Pelodiscus sinensis: one gene and its partner. The main gene of each other region encodes a partner of the protein of the gene in region 2 in a complex. Links are inferred from orthologs where the notes say so. Each region holds a gene or a part of one and is shown on either strand. Other genes may lie near its edges.

Evidence for each region. Proteins that work in one complex are often made in the same cells at the same time.
Region 1: the proteins of INHBA (region 2) and FST are in contact, whole or in part, in a crystal structure (PDB 2P6A), measured with the Homo sapiens proteins. The link is inferred for Pelodiscus sinensis from reciprocal best matches to the Homo sapiens genes INHBA and FST. Residues at the interface, in NP_002183.1 of Homo sapiens: Asp315, Phe327, Asp337, Trp338, Ile340, Ala341, Gly344, Tyr345, His346, Gly360, Thr361, Gly363, Phe368, Thr371, Arg397, Ser400, Leu402, Tyr404, Asp405, Asp406, Gly407, Gln408, Asn409, Ile410, Ile411, Lys412; in NP_037541.1 of Homo sapiens: Trp33, Arg35, Val44, Leu45, Arg60, Phe76, Met79, Asp135, Glu152, Pro154, Glu155, Val180, Val181, Asp182, Gln183, Tyr188, Val190, Arg221, Thr224, Cys225, Arg229, Ser230, Ile231, Gly232, Leu233, Glu328.

The regions. Positions count from the first base shown.
Region 1 is NC_134716.1:98,251,584-98,261,709, forward strand, and holds the start of FST (follistatin), read right to left. Parts: upstream 3,998-10,126; 5' UTR 3,606-3,997; coding exon 3,524-3,605; intron 1,808-3,523; coding exon 1,616-1,807; intron 1,212-1,615; coding exon 993-1,211; intron 639-992; coding exon 414-638; intron 1-413. UniProt on the Homo sapiens protein: Multifunctional regulatory protein whose primary function is to antagonize members of the transforming growth factor beta (TGF-beta) superfamily including activin, myostatin, GDF11 or bone morphogenetic proteins (BMPs).
Region 2 is NC_134712.1:165,915,959-165,925,819, reverse strand, and holds the start of INHBA (inhibin beta A chain), read right to left. Parts: upstream 4,313-9,861; 5' UTR 3,974-4,312; coding exon 3,586-3,973; intron 1-3,585. UniProt on the Homo sapiens protein: Inhibins/activins are involved in regulating a number of diverse functions such as hypothalamic and pituitary hormone secretion, gonadal hormone secretion, germ cell development and maturation, erythroid differentiation, insulin secretion, nerve cell survival, embryonic axial development or bone growth, depending on their subunit composition.

The sequences.
Region 1 (10,126 bases), on a different chromosome or scaffold from region 2:
AGAATCCAGATCATCTGAATGTTGAGACTGTGTTACTCTGTTCATAGAATCATAGGATTGGTCATCTCATCCTGTCCTTTCATTCATGGCAAGACTATTTTTTATCTATTATGATATGTTGTCAAGTCATAATACATTTGAGGGCCTTACTACAGCTCCTATTAAAAATAGTATGGAAACTCACATTGATATCAAGGATTGAACCCTTTGTTCCCTGTTGGTGCCCAAAATCTTGTGTGGGTCACTCAAGCAAACTTCCCCCATTTGTTTGTGTAAAAACTGCAGGAGTCCACAACACATTCACTTCTAGGAAATAACCTGCATGCAGATACCTGCCTACTAAACTGTGAAACAACAAATTATGAAGAACGATTCCCTCTTCCCCTATAAGCACTCCAAAGGCTGATACCTACTGATACATTTTCCCTCGTAGGCTAATCCAATAGATCTGCCTAGTAGGCAGGTTGCCTTTCTCAGGTGGCAAGCACTAGCATACGTTATTCCATCATTCCCACAGAGATACTGTTCCGGGGAAGTAGGCTCCGGGCAAATCCGATTACAGGTCACACAGTAGGCATTATTAGTTTGATCAACCACACACGTGGAACTGCCTGGACATAAAACATCCCGACAAGTCTCTGAAATAAAGACGGAAACATATTAACAGGCGATCCAATGGTTCATACTGGGAGTGAATATGTGAAACAATCGAGGAAATGATAAAATCAAAGTCTTCGGCAGCTTCTTTCATAAAAAAAAGAGCCACGGGATAAAACCTTCATATCTCAGGGAAGCTGGTGTGAACACAGCGCGGCATGACTCTGGGGGACTCTCAATCAGCTATGGTTTGTCGGTTGAGCGTGGTTTACTTTTTGTCCCTCAGCATTTGAAACATCTTGTTATTGTGGGGAAGTACGTCAGCTCCTCCTCCCTACACTCAGACACACACCCTGTATTATTCGGGGAGGACTTGGTTAGATTTGCAAACCTACTTTTGCATTTGCCCTGATATTGGACTTCAAGTTCGGGTTGCTCTTTACATCTGGCTTTGAGGAGAGCACACTCGTTCCTGTAGGTTTTCCCATCTAAGCCACACACAGGACCTTTCCAAGTGACATTAGAGCAGTCCGGAGCACAAACACACCGAGGTTTGTTCTTCTTGTTCATTTTACATTTCTTTCCAGGTCCGCAGTCCACGTTCTCACACGTTTCTAAAAGGGGGAAGGGGAGGAGGCGAAAGAGGCAACATTTTAATACCTACTCTGCTCATCAGACTTCAGATAAACAGTGTTTACAAAATACCCCGACAATCCCACGATACAAAGGGAGCGAACAAGGTTTGTTTTTTTTTCAGCCAGAAAACAAAATGTGGGGTCCTGAGAGATCCACCAAATAGAAGGATCATTCTGGATCATATTTGACCACGCAGAGGCTACATCCCTTCCCCTTCTCACTAACTCCAGGTCCCAAGGAGCATTTACTTCCTGGGATGAACTTTAAAATCGTAATTGGAGCACGACACAGGGAAACACTGCTACCTCTGCTGACTCTGTCCCGGCCACCCCCACCACCCCAGTGCCTGCACCTGCGGTTTCGGAGCACTTTGCAAACACACCTTTGCATGGGATACAGTTTGGGGCGCCCCCGTTAAAAATCATCCACTTAAAAAGCGTGTTGTCGTTGACGTCTTCTTCAGTCCATGAAGTGGTGAGCCTGCCCGTTTTGCAGCACTCCTCCTTGCTCAGATCAGTCTTATAGAGGACTTGGCAGCGGCCGTTCTTTGCCTGCCGGAGCCAACAATTCCCAGCTGCAAGAGCGAGAAGGAGAACGAGACCCAGCCATATCAATGTCAGTTACCAGTGACCCAGACACAACACGTGCGGCTTGCATTGACTTTTACTAGACTGTTTACTTTTATTTGTCCCATTTCATAACCTGCAGCTACTCTGGGGCAATAGGCAGCGCAGTTTAAATAACCCGATCGAAACAGGACAAGGCAGTGTTCGGAGGTATTTATTCCATATGTAGACCATGGGGACTTGCATGCACGTGACAGAGGTATGAAAAGGATCTGTATTTAAAAAAGAATAAAAATAAAACACCCTTGCAGACACCTCCCCCCTTCTTCCTCTTCAAAAATGCTGTACAACACTGTTCTAGTGCTGCCCGGAGTCTCATTCGAGGCCGTTTTAACAATCTGCAAAAATTGGTAATATTTGCCTGTTGGCGAAGTCTTTCGAAATCTCGAAATGTTGCTGCTTCCCTTAGGAAATGTCTCTTCTTTGCTGAAGAAAATTAACTGAGATCCAAAGAAGGGCGATCAAAGTAAACAAGATGCCGGGGCACAGAAATAGGAGGCCACTAGATAAAAAGTTATAGATGTCGTCTGTTTCAGACGCAGTTTCATAGAGAGTAACACTGCACTTACATCGGATAGAGATTTGTTTTACTAGTATCTCTGCTATTTATGGATTCAAGCCAAGAACATTAGTCCAAGCAACTCCCCCTTTTTTAGTTGGAGGGTTTTGGTTGGGATGAGCCTCTCGTGAATAACCAATGTGACTTCTCCAGCAACTCAAAAGCAATTGATTCTGGTACTTATCCAGCAGGGGCTAGATCCTGTCTCTTTACTCCATTGGGAATTTTCCCGGAGAGGAATGTAGGATCGGTCCCTCAGACCGATATACATGGGGAGACTGTAGAGGGAAGCGTCCCCAAAGGTAATTAGTGAATAAACAACACCCTTTTGAAAATCAGTTTTCCTGGCTCAAAAGACTGTTAGAAGTCAGCTTTGAATTCCTTTTAGTTGCCTTCACAAAGTTAACCTATACATCCAGCTCAGCGAAAAAAAAACCCCAAACCCAACAACCTTCAGTAAAAAACAACAATCTAAGTTATGCAGGTTGTTAACGGAGCGGCATCAAGAACCTTCCTCCCCCAATAATTATTTGGGAAAGACAACTATTACATTTTCTGTTTGTTTTGCTCGGCTGGGACATGTATTTAAACACATTCGCTAGTGCAGCAGAATTCATAGCTCAACACAATTCACTCACAAACGTGGATGTGAACGGGCGGCCGGGAGGCTGTCACACGAATATTGAAAGGATAGCGGGAAAATGACTAATATTAGCGTCTGAAAATGTCATTTGTGATCGCGGAATTCACCATCCTTGCAGCCAAAGCAGCCGAGAGGAAAATCTAAGCTCCATTGCCACAAAAACTTTAAGACTGCTGGAGTAAGAAAGTTCCTGTGTGTGGCTGCTGTTCATTCATGCTTTACAATAATAATAAATAACAATCATCATCACCATCCCTCCTCAGTACTATGCCCAGCCGTTTGTGGAGCCGATCAAATATGTCACCTCCATACATTTGTACAAAGCGGTCCTACTCTCACAGTTAAGTTGAGGTTCTATTCCTTAAGCTGGTCCCTTGTAGAGAGGCGTTCGCAGGAGACAACTAAACATTGAGAAAAAGACAGAAAATAAAACACAACTGCAAACAAATAATCTCATCTTACCCTGTACGGTATGATCTTCCATGAAGTGGCACACAAGCATCAGGAATAAAAGCACGCCCGGGTGGATTCTCTGATTTAACATCCTCAGTATGCCCGTGAGTGAAAGAGGCAGAAACAATATCAAGTGGAGCAGAGAAAGAGAGAGACAGAGAGCACTAGTCAGTCTGCTTATGATCGCTCTATTGAATGAACGTCAGCCTCTCAATGCAGTCTCTCTTTAAATCTATAAGGGGGTCTTAGCTGTCTGCGGTGGGCGGTCTCCTAATGTGTGTGTGTTCGGGGGTGGGGAGATTTAAAAAGTTCGCTGTGAATCAGGTGACATTTTCCACCTTCTGGAAACCCTTTCCAATTATCTGTTTTAGGTGCATTCTCTCTCTCTCTCTCTCACACACATACACATCAAATCTGCAAGAGGGAAACGCTGGAGTTCTTTGCGTAGTAACAGGAAGGAGTGCAAAAACAGAATGGTAACTAGAGCTTAGAGAGAGAGAGAGAGAGAAAAGAACTATCCACTTGTGTCATTAATACCAGAAGGCGCGCACGCGCGCACGCAGAGGAACTAGGGGCTTTAACACAATTCATAGGACTAAAGCAAGAGCCATGTCACTTCTGTGGGGAAGGAGAGGCGTGATCCTTTCCTTTAGCCCCCACATCGTGGCCAAAAGGAACTTGAAAACAAACACAATCTGATCAGCGCGCGGAAATGTTTTTGCTTCTTGTTAGAAGTTTTGGGGCGCAGCAAAAGTTGATGACGTCTCTTGGAAGACACGATTTTTGTTGCTGTTGGGGTGTGTGTGTGTGATTCCCATTCCCTGTCTGTGACTAATAATAAATTTACCCCAACACCTCAAACAGTAGTTAAGTGTTTGGCGCGCACACTCCTCCCTCCCTGTGACTGGTCAAAACCAAACAAAAGTTTAATACCTATGGTTTTGCGCAAGTGACAATCTTTTCACTGGGAGCGCCTGCAGTATAGACCGGAATTAGGGGGGCGACGTAGGCGGTCTCCTTTCAGAATCAAAAAGGTTGCAACATCGATAATGAACTTCTAGAGCACTACTTTATTAAGCACAGTCTGGCATTATTCTCCCCTTAGAAAGTTGGCGGTCTCTCATTTATAACATTTTTTGGCATCGCTGAATGAAACTGAGTAGGCGATATTTCCTTTTATACAAAATGATTACTTAACGGAAAATGGTATTGTTTATTCAAAAGCTGGCTTTTTAATTTCGATTCTTTCGCTGCTGCTCAGAGCCACCAAAGCACAACAGACAGCAAAATATGCAGACAAAATTCTTGGACATTGCCAGGTCAATGGGATTTATGTGAAAGTTCTACCGATTCCTCCCCACCCCATCCTAGTCTCCGTAACTCCCCCCCTCTTTATTCTGCAAGCTTTTCTCCTTACTCCCCCATCACAACTGCAAATAACTCAGTGATAACAGATTTTTTTCCACCAACTGCAGGAGATAGTGCTAATCTTTTAATAAAAGATCCCATTACAATGGGATCTGTCTGGACAGACTATAATAGATCCAGAAATACAGCCGTGCTAATATTAGAAGACAGTTGTTTGGGTGCCTCAGACCGGGCCCTGGTCCTGCTTTCAAAGTGAGCATGAATCACAATGTCCCGTTGCACCACCTGCAGTCACACGCATTAAGAAGCAGACTGGTAAATAACTGACCTCGCTACAATTTGTGTTACTATTATTGTGATCATCCCTGAGCAGCTTTGGGGCATTCTGATAACTTCAGAAGCTTTTTTGGGACTACACATCCCTTTTAAAGCGTTCCTCAAATAGGTGCCCCCTCTTTCTCTTTCTCTCTCTCTCTCTCTCAACCAGCATTAATGCAGGGTTGTTTAGTGCCCTCTAATGGCAGATGACATTAACAATTAACAACAAATATCCCTTACTCATGAGCTCCTGGATAAAGGCTGCTTTTAAAAGGGGGTTGGCTTTGATACTTATGGTGTAACATGCTTTGCAAAGCATAGTTTCTCTCAGTGCTCCTCAACAAGGCCCAAGGAACAAAAATAGGTGGATAACTTCAGACATGCTCTCTTCCCCAGGCCCATCAGTTTTGTTAAACAGCAGTGTAAAATCCAGGTACAACATTAACCTTATATCACCTCTGCTTAGTTAGGAAATGTTACAAAACTTTCAGGAAATGTGGTGAGTCATAGGCCTGGAACGTTTTGTGGGGTGTATATCCACTCCCCATTCCTACCATTCATAAAGACACAAGGATTCTCTCTCAGGTATATGTCCGTAGGGATGAGGTGAGTACTACAAACCTTTCACTAGTGTCCCTCAGATCCATAACATGAATTTGGGGGTGCGAGTCTCAGCATAGGATGCTGGAAGTAGGGATGCAGGAGGTGCTGCAGGATCTCCTGTCTTCAAGTGGTTTCAATTATATACAGGATTTACAGTTTGGTTCAATGGTTCTAAGCACCTCCACTAAAACAATTGTTCCAGCACCTTTGGATCTGAGTTTCTTCCCAGTGGACCCAGTAGTCCACATTATAAAATCACCCCCACTCACATAAGTAAGCATTTTGTCCTCCCCCGCAGGCAGACCCAAGAGTGAACTGCCTCTCACCAAAGTGAGGGTGGCCCCTTCAGGTCAGGGTTGGGGTCATTGGCAGGGCAGTGTGGGAAACAACAAATTGCTGCTGCTTCTGCTGCCCTTGTGAATAGGGATCTCAGTATTTGTTTTGTGATACAGACACATGTTGGTTTTATTTCAGCTTCACCTTGGATTTTTATTGATCTGTCAGATAAAATGTTTATACTGATTCTAGACAGTGTTTGTTTATTATATTGGGGCATTATCTGGCCATATTCCTGGAAATGAGTCGCATGATAGGTCAACAATGGTTGCATATGTGCTTCATATGTGCATCATCAGGAGATCAATATGATTGCACTGGCATGGAAACTTGCATCCCACCTGTTTTCTGACATCACATAGAAACAGCTGCTGTTTCTTTAATTGTATTGTCTTTTTTAAATGTTAAATATTGGGTCTGTATACAGATAAAGGTCAGAGATGCATTGTTTAATCAAAAAACTTTTTTCATGTATCTGTTTGCCTCTATTTACCATTTCTCCCCACTTCTTTGTTTTGCCAACAAGTAAATATAAATTACAGAACTGGCAACATATACCACTCTATAACTGAATTGTCAGGCAGGACATAAAAGACTGTTGTTCTGACACTGTCAGTTTTAAAAACTATCTTTTTGCAAGATGTTTATCAATTTTAATATGTGATTTTGGATTTAGGTCTAAATTTTGCAGCTGGCCCCAGTCTCCAAATACAAATAAAAATATAATTAAGTTAAAATGCTAGATACAAAGATATAAAGCTTCAGCAAAGTTCAGATTCAGATTTAGATTCACATACACTCTTGCAGCTTGGGTATATCTCTGATGTATACAATAGATGTGTGGCTATAACAAAATCTGTCTATCTATATATCACAAATATTATGTAAATATTGACTGGCCTGGCTCTGAAGCAGTAGCAGTAAAATACTGCTTGAGGAACAAAATAGTTCTTCAGATTTACTTTGTGTGAAATGTACTATTAAACAAACTATTTTTTTGTCATTTATTGTTGTGGACACTAAGTATTCATTTTATTAATGTCTTGGAGTTTTCTCATGCTTTCTGCCAAGGGCCAGTTTCCTAATAAAGAAGCAGACTTTATCTCCTAGGGTACGTCTACACTAGCCCCCTAGTTTGAACTAGGGTGGCTAATGTAGGCATCCGAACTTGCAAATGAAGCCCTGGCAGTCAGTTAGAACTAAGGGGATTTAAAAATGGCGCTCACCCGGGAACATGCAAATGAAGCCCAGGATATTTAAATCCCGGGCTTCATTTGCAAGTTCGAATGCCTACATTACCCACCGTAGTTCGAACTAGGGGGCTAGTGTAGACATAACCCTATGGTGTGTCTAGACTACATGTTTGTTTGTTTTTTTTAAAGTGGCCTTTTTTTGAAAAACTTCCCCTGCGTCTGGACTGCTGCTGCATTCTTTTGAAAGTAAATCAAAGGAACGTGGCAGTTTTTTTGACCGTGGAAAACCTCGTTTTATGAGGAATAACTCCTTTTTTCGAAAGTGATCTTTTGAAAAAAGGCTTTATGTAATGTAAACTGTGCTTTTTCGAAAGAGAGCATCCAGATTGCTTGGGTGCTCTCTTTCAAAAAAGCGGCTTGCTTTTTTGAAAGTACTGGTTGTAGTCTAGACGCTCTTTTTCGAAAATATCTTTTGAAAAAAGCTTTTTTGAAAGAGGCTTGCAGTCTAGATGTAGCCCTAATGGGAAGAGGTCACCTCTCGACCCTTTCTTCTAGCAGAAGCAAATATTTTGGGTGACAGATCTTTTTTGGGATGTTGGTGGTAGTCTGGGGCCTCAATCAGTAAAAGTAAAAGTTTTGGGGAGGAGTTTGGTTTGTGAGTGGACACGTGTGGGAGCATTTCCTGCCACATCTTTATCCAGAATTCAAGGGAGGGATGGAAAAGGATTCAAGTTCACTCTGTTTTGCAGATGGACATTTCTAGGCTAGTTGATTTTGGTCTGCCACAAAATCAGATGGTATCTGTGCTGAGATGATTGACTTCTCCTCCTCTCAGGAAACAAAGTCAGTCAGTTTTCAACCCCTAGCTGTTTTTTCTGAAAATTACTTTTGAAAATTGACCTTTTAGTTAATAGGTTCTTTTCTCTGAAAAATATATATGTAAATAATTTTCTAAGCATCATTATACTATACACTAGACAGCAATTTATTTTTCTCAGTGTAGAGAGATTCACCTCTGGACAGTTTACACTTGCTATAGAATTTCACAAACTGCTTCTCAGAAAAATATACATAAAGAGATATATTGAAAGGGTGCATTTTTAGAATGTCTTGTATGGTCAGGCCATTTTCATGTTAAAATAGACAATGCTTAGCTTCACATTGTCTTAACAAAGTTCTAATATTACTTTCTGCAAGTACTGGATGTACTTTAAGATAGAATTCATTTGTTTCTTTAATGAGTGAGAATTTGTGTACAGAATTTATACTTGTATGCTACTGATATGAAATTTAATTATATTTCTAACTAGACGAGGACAAGGATATTGACAATTTATTTTTTCCTAAAGCTGAGAGAAAAAAGTTTATGGATGTAAGATATTAAACACTAAGGCTACGTCTACACTGGCATGATTTTCCAAAAATGCGTTTAACGGAAAACTTTTCCGTTAAAAGCATTTTCGGAAAAGCACGTCTAGATTGGCAGGATGCTTTTCCGCAAAAGCACTTTTTCACGATCGGGGCTTTTTTGTGGAAAACAGTACTGTGCTGTCCACACTGGCCCTTTTGCGCAAAAGTTTTTCGGAAAAAGACTTTTGCCTAAATGGGAGCAGCATAGTATTTCCGGAAAAGCACTGACGATCTTACATGAGATCGTCAGTGCTTTTCTGGAAATTCAAGCGGCCAGTGTAGACAGCTAGAAATTTTTTCCGCAAAAGCATATGATTTTGCGGAAAAACTTGCCAGTCTAGACACAGCTTAAGGGTATATCTACCCAGCACAGCTATTTCAGGACACCAGGGCTACGTCTAGACTGGCATGATTTTCTGGAAATGCTTTTAATGGAAAAGTTTCCCATTAAAAGCATTTTCGGAAAAGAGCGTATAGACTGGCATGGACGCTTTTCCGCAAAAAAAGCCCCGATCGCCATTTTCACGATCGGGGCTTTTTTGCGCAAAACAAATCTCAGCTGTCTACACTGGCCCTTTTGCGCAAAAGGGACTTTTGCCCAAACAGGAGCAGCATAGTATTTCCACAAAAAGCACTGATTTCTTACAGTAGGAAGTCAGTGCTTTTGCAGAAATTCAAGCAGCCAGTGTAGACAGTTGGCAAGTTTTTCCAGAAAAGTGGCTGATTTTCCCAAAAAACTGGTCAGTCTAGACACAGCCCAGAGGTATCCCAAAATAGCTACTCCATGTCCACACAAGCTGCCCATTATTTCAAAATATTTTTCAAAATAATGGGTGCAGTTTTGCCATCCCGGTAAACCTTGTTGCATGAGGGTTAAAGGATGGCTCAAAATAGCGTGATATTTTGAAATTTGGCACTGTGTGGATGTGTAAAGTTTCAAAATAAGCTATTTTGAAATAGCCGGCCTGGGAGGTAGAATGGGAGGCCAAACAGCTGGCTGGAGGGCAGTGAACTTGGTGGCCTTGCAATGCTAGGTGGAGATTGTGGTTCCTCTGGGGGGTCGTGAGGCTGCTGGCCAGTGGGGTTCCCTTTTCCCCTGCTCTGGTGCTGCAGCCAAGTTGCCGGGGGGGGGGGGGGGGGGGGGAGGGCACTTACCTGGTCTCGTGCTGGCCACTCTCTTGGTGGTGTGGTTGCCCCCGAGGTCACTCTGCAATATAGCTGTTCCCTGTACTCGCTGTCCTCAGTAGTCACTGTGCAGTCTCTTGCATCAGCCCCTTCCCTTTCTGTGTTATGGAAAACAATTCCATCCAGGAGGATCCCATTCTGGCCAACCAAATCCTGGCCTTACTTTAAGTTAGAAGAAGAGGAAGCTGCATACTAAATT
Region 2 (9,861 bases):
CTGGCTAATAAGCTATCTACTTAAAAAAATAAAGGGGTGAGTAGTCAACCAGATTTTATAAATATTGCCTAGCTCAGCAGTGGAAACTTGTGGCTATGCTTATGAAGAGCATATATGTCTTACACACACTCTCTCTCTCTCTCTCTCTCTCTCTCTCTCTCTCTCTGGCTACGTCTAGACTGCACGCCTTTTTCGACAGAGGCTTTGTTGACAGATACTGCATCTAGCCTGTGATCAGTATCGTCGACAAAGCAAGCCGCTTTTTCGAAAGAGAGTGTAGACGCTCTCTTTCAAAAAAGCACAGTTTCCATGCAATACCGCCTTTTTTCAAAAGAGTACTTTCGAAAAAAGATGTTATTCCTCGTAAAATGAAGTTTACTGCTGTCGACAAAACTTACTGTCGACAGAACGCAGCGGTAGTGTAGACGCAGGTATAGTTTTGTTGATAAAAGCCAACTTTTGTCGAAAAAACCCTGTAGTCTAGACACACCTTCTCTCTCTCTTTCTCTTTCTCTCTCTCTCTCTCTCTCTCTCTCTCTCTTCTCTAACACAACTTTTAAGACCTGGAAGTAAACCACAAAGTTTTGGCAAAAGGATGCTCCAGCAGTACTAATCCCACTTAGTAACTGTAATACTTGATATGCAAGTAGAAAATCATGTTCTTGTTTTACTTGTTAGAATGTCAGTATACAGTAGGGTTCTTTTGTAAACTTTTGCCCAGTACTCTTGGTCACTCATTTTACAAAGATGTGCAGTGAAAAGTACCTGCCAAAAATTCTGCTGATCTCAAGGATATGAGGACACCTGTGCTTTATGAGTTCAATAGATTTACTCCTTCCCCATTCCCACCCCCACCCCTTGCCATTTAACTGTGTCCTGTACTATTTGCATTTTAGTTTCTCTATTTTATAAAACATCAGCCAGAATAGAAGGTTTGAAAAACAGACTAGAAGCACAAAGTAGTACGTGTGCAGACTTCATTTTCATTGTATATTTATGTGCAATAGCTGAAGACTATTTCACAATATCTCTTTTTTTGCCTTTGAATATAGAATAACCACAAGTCCTGAGAGGGTGATGTCTGATAGGATTATGTGTAGTCATACCCACACAAACAAAAATCTAAATTCTTACTCCTATTTTCAAAAGCTGAGATAACTTGTGTCAAATTTCCATTCATTTTCACTGACTCTCAATAGCTTCTTTTTTAGATTATGGTAGTTTCTGGTAAGAGTAGTGAGAATATTATAGGCTTTGGGAATTGCCCATGAATCTGTGTTCTATTCCAGGCTCTTCCACATACCTGAGAGAAGTTGCTTGAATTCTTTTTTGCCTCAGTTTCCACATATGCATATGGAAAATAATACTGTTTTAGGCTTTAACCTCCCTCTTTGCAAGTAAATATGTGTCAGTGAGTTGATGTCAAGTTTAATTAAATCATTAGTGTTTATATAACACTGTGAGCTCCCTGGATTGAAAGTGTTATTGAACTGTAAAGTATTATTAATGGATCTTGAATTTATAGAGGAAAATTATTTGTTCAGCAGGTTAAAGAACTGACTAGCAGCAATGACTCCATCCTACAAATATCATTCCCTAGTGGAAGTCAATTTTTCCATTATAAACTTAGACTCATGTACACGACTTTTATTCAGCACATCCCTTACTCTCCTACCAACTAAAGTCCCGCCAGTATGGAAAAAAGGCCCCAAACATCTCTTAGAAGATACATGCCATGGCTCCAAGAAAATGGAGAGTCTTAATACAACAAAAAATACAAGAGAATAAAATTCTACACCCTGCATTCTATTAAAGAACTAGATACCACAAATCTTATTAAAATAATGTTGCTGTTAATATTGATCACTATGTAGATGTAAATCAAACTGCTGTGGGCATTCAGTAGTTTTTATTACGGAGATTGGCAGCTGGACTATTGGCCAATTTGTGGGCAATGGCACAGTTACTTTTGGTCATGTGACTCTGAGCCAATTGGATTAGGAGTTGCAATTCAAGGCTGTCGTGTTTAATAGGCATATATCAGATTCAGAATTCCTTTGTGTCAGAGCTCAGGAAAGACAATCGTGAGTTTACAAATGATTGGGATGCACAGGAGGAACAGAAACCACTGTTCCTTCCATATGTGTTCCATTCTGCTTAGAGAGAGAGGTGCTGAAAACCAGTTGGGGAGGGTGCCCATTAGTCTTTGCTTCTGTCCATTCCTTAAACAGGTAGAAAACCAAAGCTTCCATTGTTCACTTGCATTGAGATCTTCTACCCAGTGTTTGAAATGGAGAGCATATGAGGGCAGAGAAGCAGCACTCTTCCCAGTGAAACAATTGATAACGGCTGCATTGACAAGGACGCCAAACGCAAGGGCTTCTTATGCAGTTGGAAGCCATACAGCCGGCAGGAATGTCTGCTCTTAAAAGCATGCACACTTCTGTGCATGGCTTTCCTGCAAACAGAACATCTGAGTCAACAGGTTTTCAGGACTGGAAACTCTGAGTGTTGTCTTAATTGTTTATACTGCTTTTAAACAAAAATGCTTGGAGTTCCTGTGCATACTTTGCCTACCATATGCTGTACCAAACAAAACAGTGACATTCTTTTAAAACTGTCTTGGCAACAAGAAAAATTCTTTGGCTAGACTGAATGATAAAAAGAGTTGCTATTAGCAATTTCATACCTTTCCAGATTGGTGAGACAGCTGTAGCAAGATATAGATGATTTTATGTATATGCATATACATCTATTCTATTATATGGGTTCCGGTTCTGCTCATTTAGGGGAGAATGTCACAGCTGCTTTCTACAGGCACATGCCGAGGTTTTTTGAGCAATTAGTTTTGCAAATTCTATACACTCAAATTATACAAATTGGAGAGATCAGAATAGTTCAAAGTGAACACTGTCAAGGTTGCATTCTTTGGCAGGGAGCACTTAGAAACAGAATATTTCCTTTTTTTTTTCCAGTGTGCAAAAGTCAGCATTAGAAATTGGATCATCTACAACTATTTGTCCTGGTTCTATTGAAGTTTCTCTGACAGTCACTGAAATGCTTTATTGCCTAGGATGCTGTGCTAATTAAACAGCAAAAATACCCTCTTGCTTGTATTAAGTTAAATATGCTCCAAGTGATGTTTTACCTAATGGTTGTTGTTGTTTTTTTTAACTAGGAAGCTTTACTTTTTAAAAATTTAAATCCTTTTCTTTTGTCAGAAACTTTCTAAGAGGTTGCAGCTCTTTCCCTTTCATCATCAGACCTAGAGTCCAGTATATCAGTGCAAATGCTCTGGTTTCACAAGCACAGTTTGGAAGGTTCCTTTACAGCCCGACTTTCTGCTCCAGATTGGTTAGATAGCTTCCTTACTGTTTGGCTGTCTGAGTTTAGCAAGTGGAAGCATGTAAGCTGTATCCAAGACTAAATCAGGGGAAATCAAATTCTGTGACAACCCTTTTCCCCTCACCCTCCTCCCTTCACCCTATAATCTTACAGAGAATATTATTGTTGGGTAGAAGAAACAAGTTAACTGCAATTCTGGCATAGAAAGATATTTTAAGATATTTTTTTTCTAGCACTCACCTGATTCTGCAAATGTGATGATTTCTGAAGTTTGCTCTACAAGTTCATTCATTTCTGCTCTTCTTCCAATGTCATCCTCTATTTCCACATAGCCGTCCTCTCCCACCTTTCCTACATGGAGTTTTTTTATGGCATTTAAAAGTGCTGCCTTGGGCACCGGCTGGGTGATGTTAGGTCTGTCCCTCAAGTGCAACATGTTCAGGATGTGCTTCTTTACTGCTTCCACCATCTCAGGCTGTGAGCTTGGCACATCCTTTGAGAGTGTGGCAAGGGCACATGATGGGCAGTCGGTGACTGAACTGTGCCCCTCAGATCCTGGGGTTGGAGAACTCTTCACTATAATCCAGCAAAGCGCCAACAAAAATTCTCTCTTCAAAAGCAAAGGCATCCTGGCAGCAAAAGTTGTTGTGATTCCCTTTTAAAAAGGCCCTGCTTTTCCTTTCTCTTCACACACAGGTTTTTTGTTGTTTGTTTGTTTGTATGGTTTCTTTTTTTCCTCTCTCCTCTTCAGCAAATTCTCTGGAACAAGAATAGAAAGTTTTCTGTGAAGTTTTGTTTGCAGGTTCCCTCTCTGAATGCAGTAAGTGCTGTAGATGTTTGTGGCTGTCAGGGAGAAGAGTTCTGACTCTGTCTCAGAGTAGGAGAGAGACACACAGAGAGAAAGAGGACGGATTGGCCTAAAGTGAGTGAGTGAATGAGAGAGGGAGGGAGTTTTGTCTGTGAGTAAGGGCTATGATTAGGAAAGGGGGAGGAACAGCCAGGCTGCCTTCCTTATGCTCATTGCTCCCTAACCCACACCTCTCTTCAAATATCACCAGTCATATTTTCTGCCCTCCCTCACCCCCCCTTTTTTAAAAAAAATCTCTTTCACTTCTTTTCACTTTACTCTTTCTCTCTCTTAATATTTGTTTGAATTTCCTTTATGTACCCCATCTTTTTTTTTTTTTCAAAATAATCACAAATGGAACAGGAGAAGAGTGAATGAAAGAAAAGAGTTAACCCTTTTTGATAAGCACCTTGTTGTGCTCCTGTCCAATATTAAAAGGATAGGACCACATGTTAAATAGTGTGTGAGGGAGGGAATGAAGACAGGGAATATTGGAGGTTTAACATTGTCCTGCCCTGAATGAAAAATAGAAAAGATGCTACTTTTCCATTTTAATGCTTAAAGTTATCAACACTAGCAAGAGATCTGAAGAGAGCAAAACGCAACATGTTTTGCTTGCTTTTGGGAAGGGAAGGGAGCTGTATAGTACTTTACACTTTTTCTAGCTGCACATTGCAGCAAAACATAGAAACATACAAACAGGCGACAGACAGAACACCACATATGTGTGTCATATTAAGGTACTGCCTTCCCATCCGAATATATCCCTAATTCTACCCCAGTGTTCAACCAGAACTTCTCAAACAGATATATTTAGGTTTGGAGTTTAATCAAGTAATGATTGAAAAGTTCTTGAAGGTGAAATCCTGGCCAAATCCTAAAGCCCTGATTCAGTTTTTACTCAGTCCTTAAGTAGGCAAAACCCTTCACTGATACCAATAAAAATTTTGTCTGAGTAAAGTCTTCTAGATTTGGCCCATTGTTTTTAGAAAGAAGTTTTCTTTTATTTCCCTCACTTAAACCACTTAGTACAATCATGACATCAGAAGAAGTGATTACATAGGAAGAGTAAATCTAAAATACTATTAAAAGCCAGACAGATCTTCTGCTAGTAACCATATGCCAATTAATACCAGCTGTAGATCTGGCCCCATATTAAAAAATCATTATCTTTGTCAGTTACAGCACCTCATGTTGCCCTGACGTGTTTTATAATCTTCCATTCTACTCACCTTGGCAAGCTAAGAAACACTTAAGTGAGTAAATTTCCTTATGTTTTGATGTTATAATGAAAAATTAGAAAACTGGATTTATCACCCCAAACTTTCAAGATTCTTTCTAACTGCCGTTTAGAGGTATCTTTAAGTTCACTTTTGGTTTTTTTCAATGTGCATTCTTTTTTTTAATCACACACACAAAATGTGTTTCTTATATCTTACAACTAAAAGAGTTCCATACATTATCATAAAATACATTTTAATGGGAAAAAGTAAGTGACAAATATAAGCATTGTGAGATCTGTAATTCCTGTAAAATAACTACATACGCAAGATCTGAGAGGAAGGGCAGGAAATAATGAAGTGAAAATAACTTAAATATACAGAAGTATTTGAACAATCAACAAGACTTTTTGCAAATGTTACATAGTGCAATTGTTTTTTTTCAATGGGGCTCTTTTATAAGAGTATTTCTCTGTTAAAAAGCATCTACAGTACAACCTAATCTACCCACCTCAGTTGCTATACTGTTATACTAAGGGCCTGTCAGCTTTCTTTTCTAAACCCTGCAGCCATTCTTATAAACACATCTTTGTAACAAAACCCCTGCTATATATAAATATCTTGGGTCTCATGAACAGCCCAAAATCTGTTGTAATTACAGTAAGTTGGAAAGTGAGTCTGAAAAAGGATGAAAAGTTTAATTGACTGAAAATATAATTTGAGATGACAATATACATTTAGAGTTACAGGTACTGACAGGTAAAGTAGCGAGGTATGTATATACATAAGAGGTATTAATATATCCATATACATTCTTATGTGGCATCCATCACAATAATCTCTGACATAGAATTTATAATAAAGGTGTATATCGCTATAGAGGTATAGGTCTATGTAATTAGTTTCCCATCCAGTATGTTGTATAGGGTTGTTTAACCACATATATTATATATATGTACTATATATACATTATATAGTACTAACATACCTTGGTGTTTATTGATTTAAAATTTAAACAGCACTCTATATTAACAAACTTTTGAATCCAATATGTACATTTATGCATATATCCTGAACTGTGCACACTTAAATATATTTGTTTTTAAATCCATATTAATCTGATATCTAGAGAGAATATAATTCATATTAATATTCAAAATTAAATAAACTGCATTAAATGTATTCATGATAACATGCAGATAAAATGTCTTAATTTACGAAAGAATAGAAAAAAGCATAGATTTTAAAGTTTTTACCTCTCTGTCCTCTCTCTTTCTAGCAGACTATGCATTAAGAACGGCTCAAATTCCTCTTTGTGGAATAATGTGAAGCTGTATACTGTAGTTCTTGTGTGCATACTCACACATATTTAAAGGAGCTGGAATATTGTGGAATATTAGATCAAAATTAGGTGGGCTGAAATACTGTGTTGGATTGGTTTATCCAAATGACCTCATCAATTGACTGTTTTCCTGTGTGAGACATGCTTGTGGTAATTAGCTGATGGGAACTCCTGTTTGTCTAGTATGACACAAAGTGTCATGGATTCAAATATCAGTTTTAAACCTGTATCTTTCCATTTAAAGTGTACAACTTGAAAAAAATCAGACTTAAAGTAAACATGCTGAGTCAGAGGCAAATTTCAACTTTTTATTACATAAATATACACAGCTAAGCTTTTGTCAGTTCAACCACAAGATTTGTCAGCCATTTAATTACTAAAAAGAGAATTGTCCTATCCTGCTTTGATAGTGAGAAAACATTGAGATACTACTTGCAAGTTTTAAAAAAAGTCAGGAAAATTAATAATTGTTGTGGTATAATTCTTTACTAGCAAAATTTTGCTTCTTTATTAACTTAGGGATGCTTTTAAAGCTGTGTATAATTCTATTTGTTTTAAACATGTTTCTCATATCCAGTTCTTGTTATTTCTTGCATATTGATATCACATCACATACTTTTAAAATAACACATCTAATTTTTTTATAGTTAACAACACATAGTTGTCTGTCTTCTAAGTAATGTTTGACTTGGCGCACACAGAAAAATTGGCCAGAATTTGATCTCACTTACACTAGTGAAAATCAAGAGTAATTGTATTGAGATTTGCTCTCACTTACACTAGTGAAAATCAAGAGTAACTGTATTGAGGTCTATTGAGTAATACAAAAGTAAAAAATGTATAAGGGTCTTTCTTTCTTTCTTTCTTTCTTTCTTTCTTTCTTTCTTTCTTTCTTTCTTTCTTTCTTTCTTTCTTTCTTTCTTTCTTTCTTTCTTTCTTTCTTTCTTTCTTTCTTTCTTTCTTTCTTTCTCACAGACATTGTTGCTAGTTATTTTGTGATGTAGATCATGATAATCGGGCCTGATTCTGCAGTTCTTTCTCATCAAAACACCCATTGAGTTCAAGAAAATAATCTCCATTATTCAGGATATTTCTTCTAATTGTATTTATATGCTTTCATTTGTACCATTGGTATAAGCAAATTTTTTTGGGGCGGGGGGCGGGGAATACGACTAAGTTGATTAGGAAAACGAGTAGAAATATTAAACTCATATTTGTATAAGGGAGTACTCATGCAGAATAGATTCCAGTCTGAATGGAGAATGGTTGAAGAATGAGACATGTTCACATGATAAGTTTAGTAAAATGAGCAAAATTAGGACTTAATGGGAACCATATGACCAGATAGATTGGTTTGTTTGCAGGAATATGTTTAAAATAAGATTTTCAGACTGCCACAAGTTTCTGATTATAGGTTCCCGTCTCTTGAAACAGGTTTCAGAAGGTTCTTTGCATTTTGAGGCATTCAGAATCATAGCACTTTCCACTTTACAGATAGTGAGAGAGATACTTGAAGGACCACATAATTTCATTACAAGACTGGTATCAGTAGTGCAGTGACTGTAAATTTGGCAGCACACATGCTCTCAGCAAGACCTCACACAGCATTGACTTTATGGATAGAGGAAAAGCTAGCCAGGAGTGTAATAGGTTTATCTTCTCAAGATCAACATGATGACATTTTTAACGTTCACCTCCTTATAAATTTCTGATCCAAGTACAATACAGCAGACATCCCCCTGCCCTCTGCCCACCAAGCTCCTGCCCTATAGTGAACAGCAGCACAAGGTATGACACTATGTTCCAGTGAGGTATACAATGAGCAAGACTGATACCAAGTAAATCACACTAACATACATATGACATATGACAATGATTTCTCGCAGCAGACTGAAGACAGCATATTTCATTTCAGGGCCTGTTCATAGTTTCCTTTGAGAACTGGTGTACAGCTTTACCAAAAGACTTATGAATGCTCCATTTGATGACCATTTTTTTATGTTCCTTCCTTTCTGTTTTTCTCTCCACCCCCTCCAACTCAGTTCATTTCATTGTTGTCTTTTACTGTACCTACAGCAACACCTGCTGGCAGTGTTCCGAGAGCAGTTCCAGAAAGACCCACTGATCTGACCCTTCAAGCTGGCTGCCATTAAGCACTGCCAAGTCATATTCATGAGCTGCCTCTATTTTTACCTCTTCCCACTAGAAAGGACAACTGCTTCTCAGAGCAGTTCTTGATTTTTTTTCTTTTCCTTTTAGTTTGGCAGCTCAAGAATCCAAAAAAGGATTGTTCATTTAGTGCCATTGGGATTTCTGACTCAAGCTCTGGTGCCGGTGATTGAAACCACATAAAAAGCAGAATGAGGCTGGACCTACACGTTGGCTTGCAGGCATGTTCCATTTCCCTAGTGAATCAAAACAGAGAGAAAGAGAATGAGAGAGAGAAATGTTAATATACCAATAACCCACCTCCTTTTTCCATTGTCGATTTTAGTCCTACCGGCCACTAGCAATGTGGCCCGCTGCCATTTCGCTTATTCACCTAGTGGAGGTTGTATGATTTAGTGACTATTTTAGAACCCTGGATTGCACACAGGAGTATTTGCATGTCTCAAAACTTGCTTTGAAGAGCAGTCACTAGAAAATGCATTGGCACAGGTTGCTGTGCGAATCAGCTGGAATGTCACTCTGTTGTACCTTATTTTACTGTAATTGTGAAAAAAGATGTGCCAGGAACTTTTATTAAAATGTTTTTTTTTTTTGGTAAATTGACCAATTAGGGCCAGTTTTGCTGCTGCTACTGCTGCTGCTGCTGCTAAGTCAAAGGCTTATGTGCTGATTTAGAAGGACCAGTGTTTTCAATCATAATTAGTGAGCTGGTCAAAAATTAAAGTTCATCTCAGGATAAAGGTCCAAGTTCAGAGGGTGAAGTAAAGAATGGCTTTCATGTTCTCCCCTTCATTTTATAATGGTTGTTTACACATATCTTCTCAAGGACTAAGTTAACCATGTGCTGTTTGAATGGTGTCTGTCACTAGAACAAGAAAAGCAAATATGTTCACTTTGTTTCTTGAACTGTATCTTACACCTTTCATTCATGCTATGAA